Linked DNA regions of Tribolium castaneum. The protein of the gene in region 4 binds, or shares a complex with, the protein of the main gene of each other region. Links are inferred from orthologs where the notes say so. Each region holds a gene or a part of one and is shown on either strand. Other genes may lie near its edges. The genes, in order: RING-type E3 ubiquitin-protein ligase PPIL2, holn1, LSm7, U5 small nuclear ribonucleoprotein 40 kDa protein, SNRPG, U6 snRNA-associated Sm-like protein LSm5 and Sf3b2.

Evidence for each region.
Region 1: U5 small nuclear ribonucleoprotein 40 kDa protein (region 4) and RING-type E3 ubiquitin-protein ligase PPIL2 share a complex: the UniProt entries of both Homo sapiens proteins name them as parts of the minor spliceosome. The link is inferred for Tribolium castaneum from reciprocal best matches to the Homo sapiens genes SNRNP40 and PPIL2.
Region 2: U5 small nuclear ribonucleoprotein 40 kDa protein (region 4) and holn1 share a complex: the UniProt entries of both Homo sapiens proteins name them as parts of the U5 snRNP complex. The link is inferred for Tribolium castaneum from reciprocal best matches to the Homo sapiens genes SNRNP40 and CD2BP2.
Region 3: U5 small nuclear ribonucleoprotein 40 kDa protein (region 4) and LSm7 share a complex: the UniProt entries of both Homo sapiens proteins name them as parts of the U4/U6-U5 tri-snRNP complex. The link is inferred for Tribolium castaneum from reciprocal best matches to the Homo sapiens genes SNRNP40 and LSM7.
Region 5: U5 small nuclear ribonucleoprotein 40 kDa protein (region 4) and SNRPG share a complex: the UniProt entries of both Homo sapiens proteins name them as parts of the U4/U6-U5 tri-snRNP complex. The link is inferred for Tribolium castaneum from reciprocal best matches to the Homo sapiens genes SNRNP40 and SNRPG.
Region 6: U5 small nuclear ribonucleoprotein 40 kDa protein (region 4) and U6 snRNA-associated Sm-like protein LSm5 share a complex: the UniProt entries of both Homo sapiens proteins name them as parts of the U4/U6-U5 tri-snRNP complex. The link is inferred for Tribolium castaneum from reciprocal best matches to the Homo sapiens genes SNRNP40 and LSM5.
Region 7: U5 small nuclear ribonucleoprotein 40 kDa protein (region 4) and Sf3b2 share a complex: the UniProt entries of both Homo sapiens proteins name them as parts of the minor spliceosome. The link is inferred for Tribolium castaneum from reciprocal best matches to the Homo sapiens genes SNRNP40 and SF3B2.

Annotation. Positions count from the first base shown.
Region 1 is NC_087395.1:15,994,907-15,998,979, reverse strand, and holds the start of RING-type E3 ubiquitin-protein ligase PPIL2, read right to left. Parts: upstream 2,801-4,073; 5' UTR 2,686-2,800; coding exon 2,654-2,685; intron 2,600-2,653; coding exon 1,642-2,599; intron 1,602-1,641; coding exon 1,450-1,601; intron 285-1,449; coding exon 95-284; intron 47-94; coding exon 1-46. Other genes in the region: Ubc2 (ubiquitin-conjugating enzyme E2-24 kDa), read left to right, coding at 3,526-3,988. UniProt on the Homo sapiens protein: Has a ubiquitin-protein ligase activity acting as an E3 ubiquitin protein ligase or as an ubiquitin-ubiquitin ligase promoting elongation of ubiquitin chains on substrates.
Region 2 is NC_087402.1:7,512,643-7,515,392, reverse strand, and holds holn1 (CD2 antigen cytoplasmic tail-binding protein 2 homolog), read left to right. Parts: upstream 1-1,220; 5' UTR 1,221-1,258; coding exon 1,259-2,203; 3' UTR 2,204-2,250; downstream 2,251-2,750. Other genes in the region: Etf-QO (electron transfer flavoprotein-ubiquinone oxidoreductase, mitochondrial), read right to left, coding at 2,270-2,750. UniProt on the Homo sapiens protein: Involved in pre-mRNA splicing as component of the U5 snRNP complex that is involved in spliceosome assembly.
Region 3 is NC_087399.1:1,125,679-1,128,223, reverse strand, and holds LSm7 (U6 snRNA-associated Sm-like protein LSm7), read left to right. Parts: upstream 1-1,444; 5' UTR 1,445-1,577; coding exon 1,578-1,604; intron 1,605-1,658; coding exon 1,659-1,973; 3' UTR 1,974-2,045; downstream 2,046-2,545. Other genes in the region: ENGase (cytosolic endo-beta-N-acetylglucosaminidase), read left to right, coding at 1-325, 512-984, 1,036-1,153; glucose-induced degradation protein 4 homolog, read left to right, coding at 2,406-2,545. UniProt on the Homo sapiens protein: Plays a role in pre-mRNA splicing as component of the U4/U6-U5 tri-snRNP complex that is involved in spliceosome assembly, and as component of the precatalytic spliceosome (spliceosome B complex).
Region 4 is NC_087399.1:11,299,474-11,303,441, forward strand, and holds the start of U5 small nuclear ribonucleoprotein 40 kDa protein, read right to left. Parts: upstream 2,801-3,968; 5' UTR 2,703-2,800; coding exon 2,592-2,702; intron 2,544-2,591; coding exon 2,414-2,543; intron 1-2,413. UniProt on the Homo sapiens protein: Required for pre-mRNA splicing as component of the activated spliceosome. Component of the U5 small nuclear ribonucleoprotein (snRNP) complex and the U4/U6-U5 tri-snRNP complex, building blocks of the spliceosome.
Region 5 is NC_087395.1:18,416,593-18,418,805, forward strand, and holds SNRPG (probable small nuclear ribonucleoprotein G), read left to right. Parts: upstream 1-1,200; 5' UTR 1,201-1,328; coding exon 1,329-1,360; intron 1,361-1,405; coding exon 1,406-1,553; intron 1,554-1,608; coding exon 1,609-1,659; 3' UTR 1,660-1,713; downstream 1,714-2,213. Other genes in the region: zinc finger Ran-binding domain-containing protein 2, read right to left, coding at 164-844. UniProt on the Homo sapiens protein: Plays a role in pre-mRNA splicing as a core component of the spliceosomal U1, U2, U4 and U5 small nuclear ribonucleoproteins (snRNPs), the building blocks of the spliceosome.
Region 6 is NC_087394.1:33,640,770-33,643,116, reverse strand, and holds U6 snRNA-associated Sm-like protein LSm5, read left to right. Parts: upstream 1-1,225; 5' UTR 1,226-1,362; coding exon 1,363-1,405; intron 1,406-1,508; coding exon 1,509-1,705; intron 1,706-1,787; coding exon 1,788-1,817; 3' UTR 1,818-1,847; downstream 1,848-2,347. UniProt on the Homo sapiens protein: Plays a role in pre-mRNA splicing as component of the U4/U6-U5 tri-snRNP complex that is involved in spliceosome assembly, and as component of the precatalytic spliceosome (spliceosome B complex).
Region 7 is NC_087396.1:14,198,314-14,202,572, reverse strand, and holds the start of Sf3b2 (splicing factor 3B subunit 2), read left to right. Parts: upstream 1-1,459; 5' UTR 1,460-1,606; intron 1,607-1,730; 5' UTR 1,731-1,765; coding exon 1,766-1,865; intron 1,866-1,916; coding exon 1,917-2,143; intron 2,144-2,195; coding exon 2,196-2,377; intron 2,378-2,428; coding exon 2,429-2,630; intron 2,631-2,683; coding exon 2,684-2,860; intron 2,861-3,433; coding exon 3,434-3,666; intron 3,667-3,803; coding exon 3,804-4,158; intron 4,159-4,212; coding exon 4,213-4,259. Other genes in the region: uncharacterized protein LOC103313715, read right to left, coding at 1-1,093. UniProt on the Homo sapiens protein: Component of the 17S U2 SnRNP complex of the spliceosome, a large ribonucleoprotein complex that removes introns from transcribed pre-mRNAs.

The DNA.
Region 1 (4,073 bases), on a different chromosome or scaffold from region 4:
CTTCCTCCTTCTGTCTTTTCAATTCCTCTTCGCGTTCTTTCGCCAACTAAAAATTGACCAAAAATAACACATTACAACAGAATAAGACAATCACTTGTTCGTCCGCCTCTTCAAATGGATTCACAAAAACTTGCGCCCTTATAAGCACAATATCCTCAATGGGCTTATCCTTATTGTCCACTTCAATTTTTTCCATTTCGTTTAAAGTCTCCATGCCACCAACTAAACGACCAAAAATCGTGTGCTTATTATTCAAGTGCTTGCACGACCTGTATGTTATGAAACTAAAAAAAAAAACAATTAAATTTTTGATTATTGCTCAGTGGCTGAGTTTGAAATTAAGTTGGCAAAACTGGACGTTGGCATTTCCCGTTATATCATGAAAAATACTTCAGTTTGTGTATTCATTAAATCATTAAAAGTTTGGAAAAAGTATGGGGAAAATTTACTCATTTTTTTTGTAAAAAATAAAGTTATGGCTACGGATATAAACAAGTTAGGATATGAAACGACATACAAATAAAACGTTCCTGTATTCGATAGTTCCGTTAATGTCGCCAGAGAGCGCAGATGTTCCATTACCGTCTAAATTTTCAGTGCAATGAATTTGAAAAAATGGTTGTGTTTGCATAACGGTTAACACATGACAAACAAAAAAATACAGGCAGATAGAGCATTAAATTCGCAATAGTAGGACATAAACGTAATGCAAAAATTTTATCTTAAACTATATTAAAATAAAAACTTTTACCAACTTGCACTCTGACTCATATTTTTGACAACTCTGCAAATACGGTTACAGATGCAAGAAAAATGTTAGAAAGATAATTGTAGACAATTAAATTTCCTACAAAAAAGTCCGCGGGACTATATCCCTATCTTCAACCATTTAGGCCCCAAAATCGCCCAAAGACGCTCAAGCGACGAATTTGCTTCATTTTGCCAGTGGTCAAGTATTGAAAAGTTAGTTTATAACCAAACCGTTTAAAATAGAAATATGGTGTCGTGGACTTTTTTGTAAAAAATTTAATTCTCTACAATTTTGTTCCTTACACTTTTTTTGTATCTTCAACCGTATTTGCAGCGTCTTGAAAAATACGAGACAAAGCGCAGATTTAAAAAAAAATCACAAACATTTTAGTCGTCAGTTTTTCTCAGACTTAAGGGTGCAAAGCTCAACATTGGTTGAATTTAAATTAATTTAAAACGATTTGGCGCCGAGACAGTATAACGCTCAAAGCGCCCTCATTTTTAGTCCACCGTACTATTTTTTAGGTTCAGAAAATCCTGCGATTTCATCTCCTAACTTATAGTCCTCCCTAGTTATGACATAAATGAGTTTTTTTGTCACTTTGACATTTCAAACGACAATTGACTATTAAAGTTAACATTTGACTGTTGCCATTGTTGCCAACTTAACTTCAAAGTCAAAGGCTGCGTAAAACATACAACTGTGACCCATTTGTGTTTTTCCCACTGTTGGCCATAGACAAGACCCCTCGCCCCACATGTTGCAAATTGGGCCTGAATTCATCAACGAATTTCTTCCCCCAAATGGATTCGCCCCCAGTCCCTGTCCCCGTCGGGTCGCCCCCTTGAACCTACATTTCGTTAGTTTTAGCCCCCATGATGGGTCCCTACCATAAAATTCCGAATAGATCTGTGAAATTTCGTCCCGTTGTAATAGCCACTCGCACAATGCCTGATAAAATTCTCCGAAGCACGTGGCACTTCGTCGCAGTAAATCTCCAAGTTGAGGGGCCCCAAGTTCGTGATTAACCTCACATAGCCTTTTTTCTTGACTCTGTCGTATCGCACCTCATCTTCGTGCTTCACTGCGGCTTCGTGCACCAATCGGGGGACCATCGCTGTTGAGGTGAAACTCGCAGCCACAGCCCCCGTTGAATAATGGGCAGCGTTGAACTTGTCCGCCTTTTCCTTAACTTCGACTTTGTTTATTTCAATTGTTGGCTCTTTGTAGTCCCGTTTTAGCTCCTCAAGGGTGTATTTTGTTTCAGGGTTCACGTTTTTCAAGTGGCCTTGAGGGTCGTTCTTCTCCTTGATTTCCTCCTCGGTTTCGATTCGTAAATTGTTTTTGACGTGGTGGAAGTTGGAAATGTTGAACTTATTTAAGTCTAGTGGGTCCTGTAACATGATGATATCCTTGCGTTCGAAGGGCGTATCACTGATTAAGTCCTTCCAGTTTTTGTTCTTAATATTAAGCTGTTCCACTGCTTCCATCAAGTACACGTTTCCAGTGGTGGCAATCGCCACAATGTGGGAGCTTTTGGTGAATTGTTTGTAAAGGACGGGGCACTCAAACTCGCCTTCTTCATTTTTGTGGAAATTCAACTGCACCAACGACTTGAAATCCAGAGGCTTTCCCGTGACTGGGTTTATCTTGAACTTCTTCAAAAAGGGGAGCAAAGGCTCCAAATCAAAAATATTGCCGTCCAAGTCACAGTAGGGTATTTCCCACGGTTGCAACGACAGGCAGCAGTGGTCAAACGGGAGCCGCTTAAAATAGTCCTCCTCCGCGGTCGTATAACCCGATTTTTTGCCCCCGTAAAGAGTGGTCCACTCTGTGTACGTCAAGTACCTTAAACAAAATTGCGTTAATTACGCACTTGAAACTGATTTTGGACAGGTCTACATTTTGTCTTTCTGGTGCTGGCGCTTCCCCATTTTGCTGTAACTTGTAAAGAGGTAAAATTAAAAAATATAAATCACACGACTTTGAGGTTAGCTCGCTGTCACAACAACAGGTAGACAACACGCGCACTCTTCATGCCCCTAGATGGGTGCAAAGGATTTTGAATTTTTTAAAAAATAATCCGCAATTTTTTGGTAATTTTCGGCGAGGTGTTGGCGACCGACGCCCTGGGGGTGTGGCACAGGGCGGTTTTGTTGCAAATAATCGAAATTCAGGTTTTTGGGCTGTGCAGTTTTTGCATATTTCCGGTAGTATGGTGGCAGGCCTGAGTGCTCAGCGAGTACGCCATGAGCCGATATTAGCAAAAAGGGAGTGAATTGTTTTCAGTTTTTAGTGCAAAAATTAATACAAGTAAGTGTAATTGCTGCTGAAATTTCCCGTTCAATGCCAGTTTCACGTTCCTGAAACTCGATTAGGGCCGTTTATGCGCGTATTAGCCGAGTAGGCGCTGAAAAAAATCGTCAACTTGTGCCGTAAATATCGCCCAATAAAAGCGATATCGTATCGAAATTACAGTAATTTCGGGTTCGGCGTTGTGTTTTAATCGATAATTATTGAATTCCGTCCCGTTTTTCCCAATTTAATGGAAATTTACGGCTTGTGTAATGCTTGAAATCAAAATGGCCGACTTAGCTGACAGGAATCAATTTTGGTTTTGAGAAGGGTCGCAATAATCGGTTACCTGTCCCGGCGATCGCAATCAGACATTGAACCCCATTGTTGCTTGAGGTGACTCTCTCGCACGGTCGCCCGTCAGCCCCCGGCGAGCGCCGGGAGGAACAAAGAGGTGATTTTTTGTTTTGTTTAGCTCGATGTCTTCAGCTGGGTCTAGCGGATCAGGCCGTGGTCGAGGCGGTCAAGCAGCAGTCGGTGATCAAAAGGAAACAAAAGAATCAAAGCCTAACCAGAAAATGTCAAAGGCCTTGGGCACATCAGCGAAAAGAATCCAAAAAGAACTAGCAGAAATCACGTTAGACCCGCCGCCGAACTGCAGTGCGGGCCCCAAAGGGGAGAACTTCTACGAGTGGGTGTCCACGATCCTGGGCCCCCCGGGGTCCGTCTACGAGGGCGGCGTCTTCTTCCTGGACATCCACTTCTCGCCAGAGTACCCCTTCAAGCCACCTAAAGTCACGTTCAGGACGAGGATCTACCACTGCAATATCAACAGTCAGGGCGTCATCTGTTTGGATATTTTGAAAGACAACTGGTCGCCCGCCCTCACCATCTCCAAGGTCCTCTTATCTATCTGCTCCCTACTCACCGACTGCAACCCAGGTGGGTCAATTTCTCTTAATCGTAATCGCAACAAGTAAAACAATGAATCGCATTTATTTTTAAAATTCTTGTTGGATTAAAAACG
Region 2 (2,750 bases), on a different chromosome or scaffold from region 4:
TTTCAAAAGTGAAACATACCTTAAAAACAGCTAAGGTGTTAAGTACAAACACAAATCATTAAATAAATAAAATATTTGTTATAGGTATACATATGTATAACTATGAACTCATGTAATTATATAGCTTTTAATAAAATATAATCATACTTTATTTCATAACGTATATCTATCTTAAACTTTAGAACTCATTTATCTTGAAAATTACTCCATATGTTAAAACGAACGATCGGTTACAACAAACAAATTCGGAAGTCACTTAGGTGTTCGTTGTAACTAAGTTTCACTGTATTATTAATTGACGCGCTTGTAGTATTTATGGCTCTACAATCTTGCATTAGGTGTAACTTAATAAACTTAAAATACAAAATTAATTAATTTTTTTTAATATCTGAACTTTTTTTAATCAGTCAATCAAATAGCAAATTCAGTTCTAGCACAAATTCTCTAAAAATGCAAGATAATTCTGAAAATCACATGGGAAAACCTGAAACAATTCTTAGTAATGTCACCAAACATGTACTAGGTATTAAATGTTCTCATTTATATTCTGAGATATGTTAAAAAATCAGCCTGTATTTATTTATGAAGTTTTAAAAAAAAAAGCGTAGCTATTTTGCACTTTTTTCTACAATATTAGTTGTACGTGTACGTTGTCGCTGACTTAAAAACTTTTTCTGTAGATATTTGCATTAGGTACTCAGGCTTGTTCTCTGTTTACTTATTGTGAATTTAATATAATATAATTTGAAACTATTAAAAACATCTTAAAACTCATTATTTCAACCATAAAAAATCAGAACCTTTAGTTTGCAATTTATTTAAAAAATAAAGCTTGTAACAAAAAAATTCTAAAATTCTGTCGTTCTGGGCTATAGCCCATTTTCTCCTTATGTAAATATGCGACTGCTAATAAGTAATGAGAGCATAAGAGAAATTCGTATTTGCACGTATTTGGAGGACATCTTTTTTGAAACACACAGTATAAACAAATTTTAAAGTAGCTTGTGCCATCTCTTGGATAGTTGCCAAACATACCATTTCAATTTTACAGTTTTTCTTAACTTTTTGGGTTTTTTACAATATATTTTTGAGTTGTTTATGTTTTAGTAATAAGCGTGGTGAAAAATTTGCGGTAAAAAAAGCTGATTATGATTATTTCCAAAAAAAACAAATATTAAAAAATTTAACCGTGGATACAAACCAAAAGTGCAGATCGGTTTTGAGAGCATGCGTGTTGTTTGTTTTGCATTTGTCAAAAATGTCAAAACGAAAATTCAACGAAGGCGATTTTTCGCAAAATAAGCGGCGCCAGGTGAAGTTTAACGCAAAAAAACATTCCTTGGATTCGGACGAAGAGGACGATTACGATGAGACCGCTGAAGAGCTCAACGCCGACGACATCGAGGGCGAAGAGGAGGGAATTTCGCGTCAGGTTGAAGGGGTCCGGATGACCGCCTTCAACATGAAAGAGGAGATGGAAGAAGGGCATTTCGACAAAGAGGGCCACTTTATTTGGAACAACGAGAAGGAAATACGGGATAATTGGTTGGACAACATCGACTGGCATAAAGTCAACAGTGACGATAAGTACCAGTTGGACCCCAACGAGAAAGGCTTGGGGGCCGAGAGTGATTCTGAGTCGGAAGCTGAGGATTTCGATGAGGTCGGTTTGTACAAAAAGATGCTCAACTACATGAAACCCAAAGAAACGGTCAACAAGTGTTTGAGGCGGTTAGGGGGCGATTTGAAGTTGTCCAGTGTCGAGAGACTGAAGCGCAAGAAGGCAGGGACTTTGAATTCGAATCAGGATGTGGCGGACATGACCGAGATCGCGAATAGTATATTAACGAAGACGGGGAACATGAACGTATACCAGGAGACTTTTGAAGAAATTACCAAAAAAATTGACGACCGAACGAAACCGAAAAACAGTGAGCCTGTTCTGGACATGTATGCTGACGACTTCGGCGACAAGGAGAAGGAGAAGATGGAGACGGCGTCAGTGTCAGGTAAACCAGAGCAGTTAATGTGGGAATTTAAGTGGGACCAAGACAAGGACCAAGTCGAGGGTCCGTACGACACCTCACAAATGTTAAAGTGGTCCAAAGAAGGGTACTTCAAGACGGGAGTGTGGGTGCGTAAGTGTGGCGAACAATCCAACTTTTACACCTCGAACCGGATAGACTTCGAGCTGTATGACTAACAGTGTTATAAAAATTTTATTATCAATATACATAAAAAGTCAAGCAATTTGCTTAAAGGCACTTAATTACATTCCGTTGTAAGCCGGGCCGCCACCTCCTTCGGGAACCACCCAGTTGATGTTCTGACTCGGGTCTTTAATATCGCAAGTTTTGCAATGTATACAGTTCTGGGCGTTGATTTGCAGCCTTTGACCGTCCCCACTTTCAAGCGGGACGAATTCGTACACTCCTGCTGGACAAAACCGGCCTTCAGGCCCGTCATAAATGCCCAAATTTTGCTTAACAGGAACGGTATCGTCCTTCAGGGTTAGATGCGGGGGTTGGTCACCTTCATGATTGGTCCCAGTCAGCGCAACGGAAGAGAGGAGATCGAAGCTGATTTTACCGTCAGGCTTCGGATAATCGATAGGTGTACAGTCTTTGGCCGGTTTGAGTCTCTTGTAATCGGGATCGCCATGTTTGAAAGTCCACGGTTCCATCCCCCCAATCATTATGGAAAATCCACTGTACATCACTCCTCCATACATCCCCAAAGGATTATGGAAG
Region 3 (2,545 bases), about 10 Mb from region 4:
AAATATCCACAATTCGATTGAATTTGCAAAGCATCGGACTTTGGACGTTTACGTGGGGGTGGATGTCTTCGGTCGCAATACCTTCGGAGGCGGTCAATTCAACTGTTTCAAGGCCGCCCAGATGATAAGGAGACACAACTTATCAATGGCGATTTTCGCGCCAGGCTGGACGCACGAAACGCTGCCCAAAAGTGAAAATCGGCAAAAATTCTTCGAGGATTTTATTAATCGAGACTCGGCTTTTTGGAACAGTCTGTGGCCCTATTTATACACGCATCCCATTACGAGGTTCTTCAAGACCAGTTTTTTCACTGGAGTTAACCAGGTATTTAACTAATTAATTAGTTATAACGCGCCCAAGTTCGTATTACGAAAAATAGTTCGCCCTTTCTCTCTCACTCTTTCCTATCGGAACTCCTATAGCTCTGTCCTTGTCTTATGTAAATAGCGGGTTATAACTTTTTAAGTAAAATTATAATAACTTAATAAAAACAAATGCATTAATTTTAAGGACGTCTACGACCTGTTCACGCAACACCCGCAACTCTCAAAAATCAAGCACCCAAAGTCACTAGAATGGGTCCCCAACCACCACGAAATACCAACACTGAACAATAAGTGCAACTGTTTACAGTGTGCTTTCACCAGTACTGGTGTTAGGTGTTTAATTACTAAAGAATTTTTGAATAGTTCAATATGTTACGTCCATCGTATTTTCACCTGTGATATTTTCCTATCTGGAGTTATCACAATTTACGTTTTGACGAAACTAGTACGCGCACAAGCCGCTCAATTAAGTTTAAATCTCCTCACTTCGGATAAAAACGGTACAATTAGAAAAATTAAATGCAATAGCACCGTCAAAGAACACCTAATTAAAAACTGTACGTTAATGGAAATCAATCCTTCGATAAACCCCTCACTTGTTAATCACGTCGTTAGAAGTAACGACGATTTGTTTCTACACGAAAATTTAACAATTGCGTAAGTCGGTCACACGTTTGGTAGGAAAAAAAAACTAATTAACTTTTTCAGTGTTTATCAGTTTGATTGTTCGCCGTGTACGTTATTGGAAATTGGATGTACGTTAGAGGAGGGAAAAGCGATTTATTTGTGCGGTCTTGGAGTCGAAGAGCACGTTCTAGTACTCTGACACAACTTTCGTGACCAACAGTACAAACAATTTTCTGCCATACTGTACATTTTGCCAGGGCTTGAAGCCCAAATAGTTAACATGTATTAATGCTTTAGTAACGCCCCAATGTGTAAATAACTTTTTTTGAATAAATGATAACCGAGAATTTTGCATTTTTCATTTGAAACTTTGTACCTCCACTGCGCAAGCAGTCCTCTACAAATTGTGTCCCAAAATTGCGTCAATTTTTACGTAATTCTTTAGAAGCTAAGAAAATTAATTACGAAATTGCTGGACTTTACAAACCGATAATTATTTTTTTTTATTTCAAAATTAATCGGAAGGTTCCGTGCGCATAGGAGACCATATGCACGCGTCACCTCCAAACGTATTCTAGGTTAGAATTTCAAAATCGGCAAAATTCCACAAATAAAGCCGAACAATGGCATCGTCAGGTGACAAATCAAAAGTACGTACCCCAAACTGCCCCATTTCGCCCCCTCAACCCCCATTTTTACCGTAGAATCAGAGCGGTGACCAAAAAGAGAAGAAACGTAAAGAGTCGATTCTAGACCTCTCTAAATACCTTGAAAAGACAATTAGGGTGAAATTTGCGGGCGGCCGAGAAGCTAGTGGTATTTTAAAAGGCTATGACCCCCTTTTGAACCTCGTCTTAGACAACACAATCGAATACTTGAGAGATCCAGACGACCCTTATAAATTAACAGAAGACACGAGGGCCTTGGGTTTGGTGGTCTGTAGGGGCACAAGTGTCGTGCTCATATGCCCCATGGACGGCATGGAGTCCATACAGAACCCCTTTATATCCCAAGACTAAGTTTTGTACCATAAAAATACCTCTAATTTGTAAGACGTTTTTTTGAATAAAACCGGTAAAAAATTAATAAAACTGTTTTATTGCACAAACTAGCTCAATAAATTAATTAGAAGTTTAGTTATAATGAGCGTAAGCAACCACCAATGCTTATAACCAAAAGTAATTAAAGCGTACACACAAAAAACGTGTTAATTACGCTTGAGATTAACGAATAATTGCCCCAAATAATAAATCTGGGTTGATTCAGTTGATTGCAAAAATGGGTTTTTCTGTCCAAAACTACGGTTGAGTACAGTCGCCCACACATTTAATGGCCCTGTTGCGCACCGAGCATGCGCAAAAACGCTCTGACCGACTCGGATGACTCACCGCCGCCATTTTCCTTTCAAAAAAGTGACATTGGTGACAGTTGAGTGCAAAAGTGCTTTAAAAATGCCGGTCAGGGTGGATATTACGCCTCCCCCGCCGGCCAATTCAAAACAGCCGGGGGTAACAAAGTCCCTCTTATACAACGGCTCCAAATTTCAAGGTTTCCAGAAATCGAAAGGCAATTCGTACGAAGTGGAAGTGGT
Region 4 (3,968 bases):
GAAATGATTGTACAACTTAAAAAAACAGAATAAAATCATAAAATTTTCTGTTGAATTGAATGCGGAAGACGTTTTTGAATTTGGTATTGCCTTTATTATAAAAAAATAAAATTTTTCGAAAAACTATAATTGATAATTTTCTTTATTTACATCCTCATATGTTCCTTCTGAATAAAGTTAGAAACCTTTTTGGAGAAGATCCCTAAATGAATATAAGTTCAGACGTATATAGGGTGAGTCTTAACTTACACGCATAAATTTAGGGAATGATAGCCTTTCTAGTAATAGTTATTTACAATTTACCTGTAGTAGGTAAAATTTTACAGCGTGAAGTTTTAATATTGAAGCTCGAAACGAAGTTGAGGGCTTTAATACAAAAATTGAACCCTGTAAAATACCTAACGCACAAATAACTTGCAAAACTGGTTGGCCAAATATCGCTAAAAATAGATAAATAATTACCACTCAGCATTTAGATTATTTTACCACGCAATGTCAACATTTTACTTAGCAAATGACTAAATAGTAGTCATTTATACGGACTAGAAAATTAAAAAATTCTAGAATGAAACCATAAAATTTTCTGTCCAATTATTCTACAGAGTAAACTTAATATAACACATAAAATTTATATCTTAGTTATGGCTTATTTTTTTCAATACACAAATCAATTTTATTTTTAGAAACGCTAGTCTTTGACATCCAGTTATTGAGAAAAGACATGTTAAAATAACATTTTAAATAGCCACCAACTTTTTTGTTTACTATTTTAGTACTACACTCCTTCATATTTCTGATAAATATAGGGTGCTCAAAAACTGGCGCACCAACTCAGTGGTACATTATTGAGAAGCAAGTGCAGATTACGGGAAAAATGTTTAAAAAATTCCTAAAGTCATATTTTGAAAAATCTGGAGCTACAAACTTATTGTGTTAACTTCTTTAGTTTTCATTATTTTTTTTATGTATTTATGTTTCATACCAAGTAATCGTTCCGTAACAAAACGATGAATAATTATTTTCAAATTTACTATCAGATTTTAGCAGTTTTTTTAATTTAAAAAAATTAAAATTCATCCAAAAAATCGCAATGTGTAAATGTGCCAACACTGGCAATTATTTCCTAGGAAACCGTTTCAAAAATAATTTATTTTTATTCTTGCTCAACTTCTGTTGCGATCATGACTGTTAGACAACGTTGCCACATATCATTTATCCAAAATCCGTTATTTATCAATAACTTTAATACAAAGAATTTTTTACTATTTTTACCTTTATATGTAACCAGTTCTCTACCACACACCAATGAGTTGGTGCGCCAGTTTTTGAGCACGCTGTATAATAAAATTCAAACAAATGGAGCAAAAAATCAAAAAACAAAAAGAATAAAAAAATGAAAGAGGTAAAAAAGTTATGAATAATTTTACACAAGGGCTTTATTTTTCTGTTTTGGCTTTATTTTATAAGAACGATTGTTTGTTTTTCCTTATTTTTTTGTTTTTAGGTTGTTTTCATATTAGTTAAAAAACAAAAATAAAAAACATGCACCCCTGATAAAACAAAGCAATAACAATTCGTGTATACATATAGTCGATTTTTTTTATAATCAACTGTCAAAGAGCCGTCAGGTTAGTATTACCATAAATAGTAATTTTTACTAAGATGGTACTAATTTTTACCTGGCAAATTTAATTTAATGGTCTTTAAGTTACAACACGCACAACACATTTTTTTAAAAGGCTAACAAATTCTAAAGACTAACGAATTCAAATTTCATTGGCTGCAAAAATTGTCCCGAATGTCAAATCTGGTGTGTAAAATGTCAAATACAGAATACAGCTAGTTTCGAAAGTGATTAGACATGAGATTTTGGTGTGATACAGTCTGGTCTTTATCAAAATTTTGACACTGACAGTTAATTATAAAAAAGAATGAACTGTAGTTATCAAATTATTTTTAACAGCTAATGTACCTGTACAAAATTTAAAAATATTCTTGTTACAAATAGTTTTATTTTTGAATAAATAAACTAGTTCAGAATATTTTAAAAATGAACATTTGCTTCCATTTATTTAACTTGGTAATTTTTAACTACTATTGGAACCTGCACACAGGCGGCCAATTGGCATGGCTCAGCCCTGCTAACATCAACTGATGAATTATGTTGCACAAACAATTGGAAAAACAGCTTTAAGCTTATTATTTACATTTTTATCAATAACAATTGAAAATTTTTTACTCTTAACTTTCGAATTATGTTAACCCCCTGAATCAAATTCCCAACGCACGGGCGTTAATTTTAAGACACCCTCTATGTACTTCAAATTACTATATTAGATATTCAAGTAAATCCTCCAAAATTTTGATATGAAGACCTATTTGGCTGAACCTCATTGCAAAAAAAACAACTTACAAATTCTACGGTCGAAACCTGATGAAGCTACATATTGACCCTCAGGGTGGAATTCCACTGTGAAAATCTCACCCTCGTGGCCCTCCAGTAACATAATGGGGGCAAATAGATTGGAAGTTCTCGCAGGGGCCTGAAATACATGATTTGAGGAGGGTTTTTGAGGTTAAGTGTTACTAACCGCTTGTAAGACCGATTTGTTTTTGTTCGATGTGGCCACTTCATTTTTCGATTTTTTGCTTACGGGGACTAGAGATGATGAATCTTCGGCTCGACGTTTCTCAACAACCATTTTTGGTGTTTTAAACAAAAATTGGGAGGAAAACAATAACCTCACTTTTTAGCGTCAACAAAACGAAGCGATAAGCGCCCTCTGGTGGAGAGCACGAAGTACGATTTGATTGTATACCCTGTTTCAATTATATAAAACAAATAGTTATCTCCTTTGGAATAAATGTTTGACAACAATGAAATGGTTTCCCAATGTCGATATCTAAAAATTATTTGGTTTTTTACTTGCCAAAATTTCGAAAACGATTAATATTAGCTCACTTAACTCACTTTGCGTAATTCTTATTACTTTTTTGCTCTAAAATTGTCAGTATTTTCCCGGTACTAACAGATTTTTGTTAGTAATTTGCAACACTGAAACACAATTAAGTTTCTCTTGGCAAATATTTGAGGTACAACCCCATAAGACTGTTGCATTATTGCGCCATCATTTTTAGTGTGTCGTACTAATTTTTTGGGATTAGAAACTCCTGTAATTTTATATCTTGTTTCATCTCCTAAGTTTAGGAGGAACCCCCGGAGTTTAGGCTCATTTTCAAACTACAAACATCTTTTTTGCGTAATTTTACTAAAATAGATTGATAAGAATGATATCTTCCAAATTATAGTCGTTATTATAGTCTGCTTTGTTTGATTCAGTAAAGTTTCGACTTAAAAACTACATATTTTCTTAAATTCTGTCAGAAGAAACTTAAAAATCAGCAAACTTGATCAAAATTAGATACTAGATACTAATGTTTTTTGTGTAATTTTGGCAAAACAATCCAAAAGGTTGTTAAATCGTGTTAAAAATAATGTTATTTGTCTATTTTCAGATGTTTATTTAATATTTTAGCACTTTTTTTCGTGAAAAAACACCGTGAAAATCCTTAAATTAACTAAAAATTGACTTGACTTTGGTTTATTTTGCTCAATTTTTGAACTCATTTAAACTCTAAAATAAATCAGTTTGTAAAAAAACTCTTAAAATGACACTAAAAATCATTAATCGAAAATCCCAAATTTGTTGGAAAATTATGTTATCTGTGCCTTTTTTAAACGTAGAATTTTGTTAACAGACCGACATTGATTAATGATTTCTTCCTCTTAGACGATATTACAGAAAAAACTTAAAACACTGATTGCATGCCAAAAAAATTGCCTAAACATTTGCAAATATTTACGTACGTTTCTTCCAGAATATGTATATCCTGTTTTTATAACTCATTTTAATTAATTTTTACTTAAAATATTTACTTCCGTGCCTACGGAGAGTGTGATGCAACTA
Region 5 (2,213 bases), on a different chromosome or scaffold from region 4:
CAACTACAAAAACTAACAAATTTCGTTAGTCACTTGGTGCTAGAATCTATTCGATTTTCAGGTGAAGAAGAATGTAAATCAGGCACCAATAAAAGTAATGGTTTATTGTGTATACCTAACTCGAATTTACCACCATACAAAGCAGATTTATTCACCTAAATGTCTATAAAAATTTCGACTCGACTAATGACTTTTTTTTTTCGTGTTGTGGAGACCGTGACCTCGACTTAGATCTTGAGTTATTTTGTTTACTATTCGATTCCCCTGAATCCCCCCAATCCGACAGATCATATTTCGATAAGTCTCCGTCGTCGTCATCCTCCTCCTCGTCCTCCTCCTGCTCCTCCTCTTCTTCCTCCTCAACCTTCTTCTCCACCTTATCTACACTATTTTTCATCTCCTTCACCTCCTCACTTTTCTTCTTTTTCCTCCTCCCGAACTCGTCATATTCGTCGTCAGACTCGTGCTCCTTATACTCGACCACCCCCCTGTCGTTATACCCCCCACCGAACCCCGTCCTCTCCTCCACCTCCCCAAACTTGGGGGCGTTACAAACGTTACACTGCTGCCTCCGCGCCCAATTCACGTTACCGCATTTGTTACACTGCCAATCGTCGGCACTAAACAACCCGCGACTTTTCTCTGCCGCCGCTTTACCGATCTCGTGCCCCAATTTGCGCTTTTTCGCCGACACCGGCCCCCGACTTTTGTAACAACGGTTACAGTTGTTACGGCGGGCGAAATTTACGTTACCGCAGTCCGGACACGTCCAGTCTCCCTCGTTCGACGCCGACGGGCTTTTCAGCGACGGCGGCGGGGGCGGTGTCACTTCGGCCTCTTCCATGGGGGCGATACTAGACTAGAAAAGGCGTAAAGAGTAGTGGCTAGAAGGAGCACTACTAGAGGGAACGGAGGAGCAAATGTTAACATCTGGCGGTACTGGTACTGCTTTTACCTTTACTGAACCTTTTTCCAGCGGTTATTCCAACAAATTTGTTGATAAAAAAGTAACGTCAAACCGAAGATGCACCGAAATGTCACTAGCACAGAGGGATTTTCGACGCCAAACGTTGCCCACACCAATCAGGACACGATCACCAAAACAACAATTGCCTTATTTCAACGCAACACTTACCGATTTCTGATTACAGTTATCACCAAAACCAATGACTTGTTTTGTTTAATTTTTTGCATTAACTATACGTTAAAAATGTGAAAAAATTGGGACAACTGATCATGCCCTGTACTTAGCAACTGTCAAATCTGTCAGTTTGTGTCAAGCGTTTGAAGAGCGTTTTAAATTTTAAAAACTCAAAAAAGTACACAAAATGTCGAAAGCACATCCTCCGGAATTGAAAAAGTGAGTCTTGTTTTGTCGTAGAACGTATTACTAGTTTTTTTGCAGATTTATGGACAAAAAATTGTGTTTGAAGTTGAATGGGGGCCGACAAGTCGTTGGTATTTTGCGCGGTTTCGACCCTTTTATGAATCTAGTGGTGGACGAGAGTGTGGAAGAGTGCCGGGATGGCAAGAAAAACAATATAGGGATGGTGGTACGTTTCTTTTGAATTAGTGTGGATTTGAAATTTGAGGTTATGTTTATTACAGGTGATCCGGGGAAACAGTATCGTCATGTTGGAGGCTCTAGATAGGATTTAGTTTGTAATTTTGGCTTAATCGATAATTATTTGTAATAAAAGCGTTCGATTCTGACCGAGTTTTCTTTTATTGGGCTTGGGGTAGGGTGGAAATAAGTGAATTAGGGTAATAGGAGGGAAAGCATTATCGTCGTCGCTTTTGTGCGTTCATTCACAAAGAAATTCAATTCGTATTGTTTTCCTCGAGCGGTTTGTCCGTAACAGTGTATGAAAAGCTTAGAGAATGTCGCATGCGCGCCGCCACTGTTCCACCGTCGGGAAAATATTGGAAACGTTCGCTAGTTTGGCATTAAAGCGTCTCGGCGGCGACGTTCCAGTGAAAATTTTCGTGTAGTGACGAGTTTTCCAGAGCCACATCACAATCAGCGTCAGGTATTGCCCCCATTGACAGTTTTTCCGGGAAAACATCCGGATCGAAATTAACACCCACTCGATTTTAATGTCATTTCCTTGGAAAATGAGTTTTTTGAGGAACAGTCTTAAAGCAACCACCCTTGACTAGGTCAAAGGAACACGCTGAAATGTATTGCCCTATAAGATTTCGCTTTAATTAGT
Region 6 (2,347 bases), on a different chromosome or scaffold from region 4:
GTAAATAACTTGTCTTTTATCTAAAAATGCCCATTTCAACGGCATATCCTGTCGTTTGCATGTCTTTTGGTTGCTTTCCTCCTGTGTACCTGTAATATGCTGAAAGTAAAAATGTGGAAATCCACTTGACATTTTCTTAATAGCTTTCAGGGAAATGGAGATGAGTTTACTTTCTTTCGCCACAAATATTGGAATACATTAGAACTAACGTGAACTTTATAAAAATCTGTGGAAACAAACACTTTGTGTGAGGAACGTTGGGAAAAATAGAATATGATTAATACAAATTCGTTCAGGAATTTCCTGGCCACATTCCTTGTTAGCGGTATATCCAAAGAATGTTTATTATTCCCATAGGTATATCGGTCGTGTCTAATCACAATTTCATTATAATAATCCACATAATGATAATGTCAACCACAGTGGTCAAGTTATCATAATAGAATATTGTTTGCTGCAAGTAGCATTTTAATGTGTTTATTTAAACAGCATGGACAGGGCAACTGAACTCTTCCAAGATAACTGTAACACGAATATAAATAAAAGAAAAACTCCTGAGAAATAAAAATAGCTAAGCATTCACATTCTGCTACAATTACCATTTATTCCCCGATATAAATTATACGCTCTCGAGCTGTCGTGTTATAAAAATAGAGCGTTATAAATCATATTAAAGAGGAATAAATCAATGTGTAGGGGTATAAAGCTCTTAGAGAACGTAAATATAGGCTAAACCAAAATAACACCATTGTTTCAATTAACTGGAGTATACTGACCTTTTATTACAAATTGATGATTTTAAATTCCAAAATTTACTCCACGAACATTATTGTCACGATTTTAGACACAAGTTCACTTAAAAATACGATTATTTATTACAAAAAACACAAAACCTACAACTACAACACACTCAACTCCCACCTCGGTCGGCATTTGACGAAAACGACAAACGACTGAAATACCGAAGAAAGCCGCAAAGCGCATGACCTGTTACACTGCAAGAGCTCCAAGCTCGCACATACGCGCTCCAAAAGAAATAAAAAATAAAAACAATTCATGCATTCCACGCCGTAAAAATGTAACCATAAGGCGGTAAAGTCTTAACAAACGTGTGCCACTACTTTTTGTAATTGTCTTAAGCCGTATTTTGATCGTTTATTAAATTGTTCGGTTCCGTAACGTAAGTCCTAGCTTGAGCTTTTTGCTGTAGTTGCGACACTAGCGCCATTAAGCTCCTGTCAAAATCCTTTTTACTGTCAAATTGATTACTTTTTGCTGTTTGTAAATGTAAACAGTTGTTTCAAATATTTATTGCTAATTTAAGAATTTATAATTATTTGAACGTATTATTAAACGGTCAGAATGACTTCCATGCCTGTGTCTTCTTCCACCTTGCTTCCGTTAGGTGAGTAAAGCAAAAAAACGTAACGTGTTTTTTTGGTTATCTGCCGGTGTTTGAGCATTCAATAATAATCATTAATTTATTAACGTTGTTTTTGCTATTGTAGAACTTGTGGATAAGTGTATAGGGTCAAGGATCCATATTATTATGAAAAATGATAAGGAAATCGTGGGGACGTTATTAGGCTTTGATGATTTTGTCAATATGTTACTGGAGGATGTAACGGAATATGAAACAACGCCTGAAGGAAGGAGAATTACTAAATTGGACCAAATTCTGCTTAATGGGAACAATATAACAATGGTACTTTATTTTGTGCTTCGTTTTTATGTTTAATATGCCATACTGTATCTAATTAATTCTTGAAACTAATTCAAAATTTTAGCTTGTTCCAGGTGGAGAGATGCCAGAGTAAGTCATTTGAATAAAGTATAAAATAAGGGCATTTTTGTGTTTGTTTAATACCCTTTTTTGTATCATAAAAAGCTCTTATTTTTGATGAAAACAACACTGTACATTTAAGGAGAGATGTGTTTGTGTCAAATTTGTCCTAACTGGGCCTTTTAACACAAAAAAATAAGTTGTTCAGAACATTACTTTGTAATCGCGGGTTAGGCAACCACCTTATCTTGTTGTATAATGTGTTGCCAACTACTCCAGGCCTTTACAATGAAAAAAGGAATGGAACGACGTTAGAAAATAACTAAAAGTCGTAAAAACGGTTCGTTCCAGTGAATTTTGCGGCTCATTTTACCATATATCAGCTTTTTACGCAATTTAGAACCCACTGGAGTTGCTAAAAGTCCATATGTTCGATTTTTTTTATCCAATTTTTTGTCTCGATTTCCGGTACCCGGAACATTTATATAGGTTTGGACCAAAATAGTTCCATAATTTGAAGAGAGCCGGCCAGCAGCATTTTTTTTTCACTAAAAAAAGTCGTAA
Region 7 (4,259 bases), on a different chromosome or scaffold from region 4:
CAATGACAGGCACATTTTGTTTTTTGTCCTTTGATGTTTCAGATTTTTTTTCTTTTTTCGCCGTTGAAGCAACAAAATTAAATTTGGGCAAATCAATGGTAGGACTGATCTTCTCTGTAGTAGTCTTTTCCTGCACTTCAATGTAGCTTGAACTTCCCTCATCTTCATTCACAGGACTCAAGTTTACAGACTTGCAATTTTCAAAAGATTTTGAATCTTCAATTTCCCTAAACGAAGAAAACTTTCCTTTCCCACTTTCGTCCGCTTCCAAAGAAGACAAATTCTGTTTTTTGGTCTTTGGTGTCTTGCTTGAAGCAACAAAATTGGGGAAAGTACCATTGCTAGGACTATTTTTCTCTGTAATACGTCCATCTTGTGTACTCTTCTCGTTGACTTCAATGTAGCTTGAACTTCCCTCATCTTCATTTAAAGGGCTCAAATTTACGCTCTTGCAATTTTCTGACGGTTCTTCAAGAGATTTAAAATCTTCAATGTCTCTAAACGAAGAAAACTCTCCTTTCCCACTCTGTCTTTTGACCTTTGGTGTCTTGCCATGTTTATTTTCTTTTTTCACGTGTCCATCTTGAGCCATTTTCTCCGTGACTGTGATGAAACGTGAACTTCCCTCACCATCACTCACAAGATTTACAGAATTTTCGGAAGATTTCTCCTTCAAACTTTTTGTAGTGAGATCTAATGTCTCATCATTGCACTTGTCTTCCAGTTCACATTGCTTGGTACTCCTAAGAACTCTCTTAGCTTTGACGATTTTTCTTTTATTTTTTGGTACAGGTGGCGGCGAGATTTTTTGAACTTCCTTGAACAAAAAAGGGCTTCCTTTGTCACTTTTCCCGCTCTCATCGAACTCCAAACGAGGCAAATTCTGTTTATTATGCTTTGACGACGTTGGCTTAATATTTTCGTCTTCTTTTTCCACTGCAGAAGCATTAAAACTGAAGAAAAGCAAATCGTTCGTTTTTCTGACTTTTCGTCCACTTCTTGTTGCTTTGGCACTGCTTAAGGGGCCACTGGTGCTTTCCATTTCAGGTGGATTTAGTTTTTTATTTAAACGTCTGCTGGACCTCACTGACATTTTAATGCAAGCTATAAAACAATTTTTATGTAATTTTCGTATCAAAAAAACTCGGTTTTTACCTTTAACGTTGTGTTAAATCCAATTATTCGCTTTTTATAGTAACTTTACAGTAAACAAGGCACACAAATGACAAACCGACAACAAAACCGTTTTTTTGAATCTGACATTTGAGATTGAGATGCGTGATTGGTCCAAATTAGATTGGCATCTTGTTTGAAAAATAAATTGATTAAATATTTATAAATTATTGTATTTACAAGATGTTAATAGAGAAAGTTGTAACTAACTGGATAAATAACTACTACATTTGATTTATTCTGTATGAAAATTTTGGGAAATGTTTTCGCTTTTGCAGGAAATCGAGCTGTCGCGATTACGGTCGCATTCGCTCTAATTCCAAACAAAAATGTCGACCGAAACGTTGCTGAATGCCGCAATAAATTATTAATAATATTAAAAGTTTGCGGTTTTTCCTCATTGTAGATAAAATTTAACAGACTATCTGTTATAGTAAGTTCGCTTCTTGCTTTGATTCAAACATTTTTTAAGAAATTAGTATGAGAAAGAGGTTATATCAAATTGAGAAAAGTGCTTTTTAGTGTTAGAACAATTCCATAATCCCGTCTCCTTTCAGCTTACGGCTGCAACAAGCACTGATTCTACTGACAAATGAATCCGGATCAGCTACAAGAGGGTGTCCCGGAGCACCCTGTGCCCCACCAGGAAGGGATGTTTGGGTCAGGTATGCAAGGGTGGGCTGGTGAACATGGTAATTGATTGTTTTCAACCAGTTTGTTTATATCGCATTGGACTATTTCAGGTGTTGGTGGTGAAAAACAACTCCCCTCATTGCTATCCCTAAAAGTGGATCCTCCTGATCAGATGATGGAGACGCCACCAACTGAAGTTGTTTTACCTCAAGTGTTGGAAGAGGTGTTGGCGTTAAAAAATCAGAGAGCGCGTGAACTAGAACGAGAAGAAACGGAAACAGTAGTTCAACAGCCGCAGACTCCTAGAGAGGCGCTTTGGGAGAAAGATGACAATATTGTAGCTTTTTTAATTTTTTGTATGAATATAGTTATAACGATTGTTTTTTTAGGAACCCGTGGTTGAAAATGAAGAAGAGAGTCAGGTGAAAGAGACCACCAAAATCAGTAAGAATAAAAAGAAGAAGAAAAGGAAGAAGAACAAGAAAAACAGGGAGAATGAACAGAATAAAGCGGCTGAAGAGGAGGAGAAAAAGGATGGGCAAGAGGATGGGAATACAGATGTGGAAGTTGAGTAGGTGTTTTTTCTATTTGTTTGACAAAATTGTTATGAGTTTAATTAAAGGTACGTCCAAGAGACGATTAGTCTTCTTGAACTGGCTCCACAATACCGGCAGTTTTATAGCATTTTTGACGTGTTTAAAATAACTGATCAAAAGCATGATATCCCACCCCCAGTTCTGGCAACGCCAACATCATTGTCAAGTAAATCAATGTTAAATAGCATAGGAGATCACTTTCAGGAAGAAATGGAAGATGGGGACGACGTAAGTGTTGTATTACATTATGAATAAAAAATATGTATCTATTTTTTTTTCAGAAAAAGCTTGACGATAAGTCAAAAATGTCCAAAAGAAAGCTTAAAAAATTGACGCGACTTAGCGTCGCCGAGCTTAAACAACTAGTCAGTAGACCAGACGTTGTAGAAATGCACGATGTAACAGCCAGGGACCCAAAATTGTTGGTCCAATTGAAAGCTCACAGAAATACCGTTCAGGTAACGATTATAATTTTCTCAAAAATTAAAAGTAATGCAGCCATTCCATGATTACGGACGGCACATAACTATTATTTTAAAAATGGCTTATTAAAAAAAAAAGATGGATTAACAATTTAAATTCATTTTGCCACTTCTAAAAGTTGTTATAAATAATTAGTTACGGATGGGACACAAAAAATTATGCTTTGTAACAATTTTATTATAACACGAAAATGTTAACAAAATTCAGGAACTACTAACAATTAATAAAAAAAGAGAATACCTTTTATTAAATTATTATTAAGAATAGAATTAAGTCGTAAGCTTTGGAAAAATAATTTTCGTCACTACTTCCAATTTGAAAACTCTTAATTTTGCGCACATATAGAATTCTGTAGCATTATTAATTATTATTTTCTTTAGACGAACTTTGTTCCAAACTAAACATTTTACTGAACGCATAAGAAGCAAGGATTTGAATTTTTTATTAAAAAGTGATGTTTTGGAACAAACTTAACAGATTTTTCATAATAATAAAGCAGATGAAAATATATGCGGAGTTAGCAATTGGCTGAATAATGTGTTTTTCAGGTACCACGTCATTGGTGTTTCAAACGAAAGTACTTGCAAGGTAAACGTGGTATAGAGAAACCACCTTTTAATCTTCCAGATTTCATTAAAAGGACTGGAATCATGGAAATGCGTGCGTCATTGCAAGATAAGGATGAATCCAAAACACTCAAAGCTAAAATGCGGGAAAAGACCAGACCCAAACTTGGAAAAATCGATATTGATTATCAAAAATTACACGACGCATTTTTCAAGTACGTTTTTTTTATTTTTGATAAAAGCTAAAATTGCTATTGTTTGTAATTGTGTATTCGTAGAGATTGGGAATAATTGAAAAAGATAGACAGCTGTTTATTTAGAATTTTTTTTATAATCTCATTGTTATTGTTAGGTGGCAAACTAAACCCAAAATGACCATCCATGGGGACCTTTATTACGAGGGCAAAGAGTTTGAAACCAGATTGAAGGAAAAAAAGCCTGGAGATTTATCAGAAGAATTAAGAACGGCCTTAGGAATGCCTGTGGGCCCTAACGCTAATAAAGTACCCCCACCATGGTTGATTGCAATGCAACGTTATGGTCCCCCACCCAGCTACCCCAACTTGAAAATTCCGGGATTAAATGCCCCCATCCCTGATGGTTGTGCCTTTGGGTACCATGCCGGTGGGTGGGGAAAACCACCGGTGGACGAAAATGGAAAACCATTGTACGGTGATGTGTTTGGAACAAATGTTACCAACATAGATGTAAGTATTTTATAATATTGTTTTATTGAATTTTGTTCAAATATCAATGTTTAGGACATTGGTGAGGACCCTTCCGTGGATCGCACCCTCTGGGGCGAGCT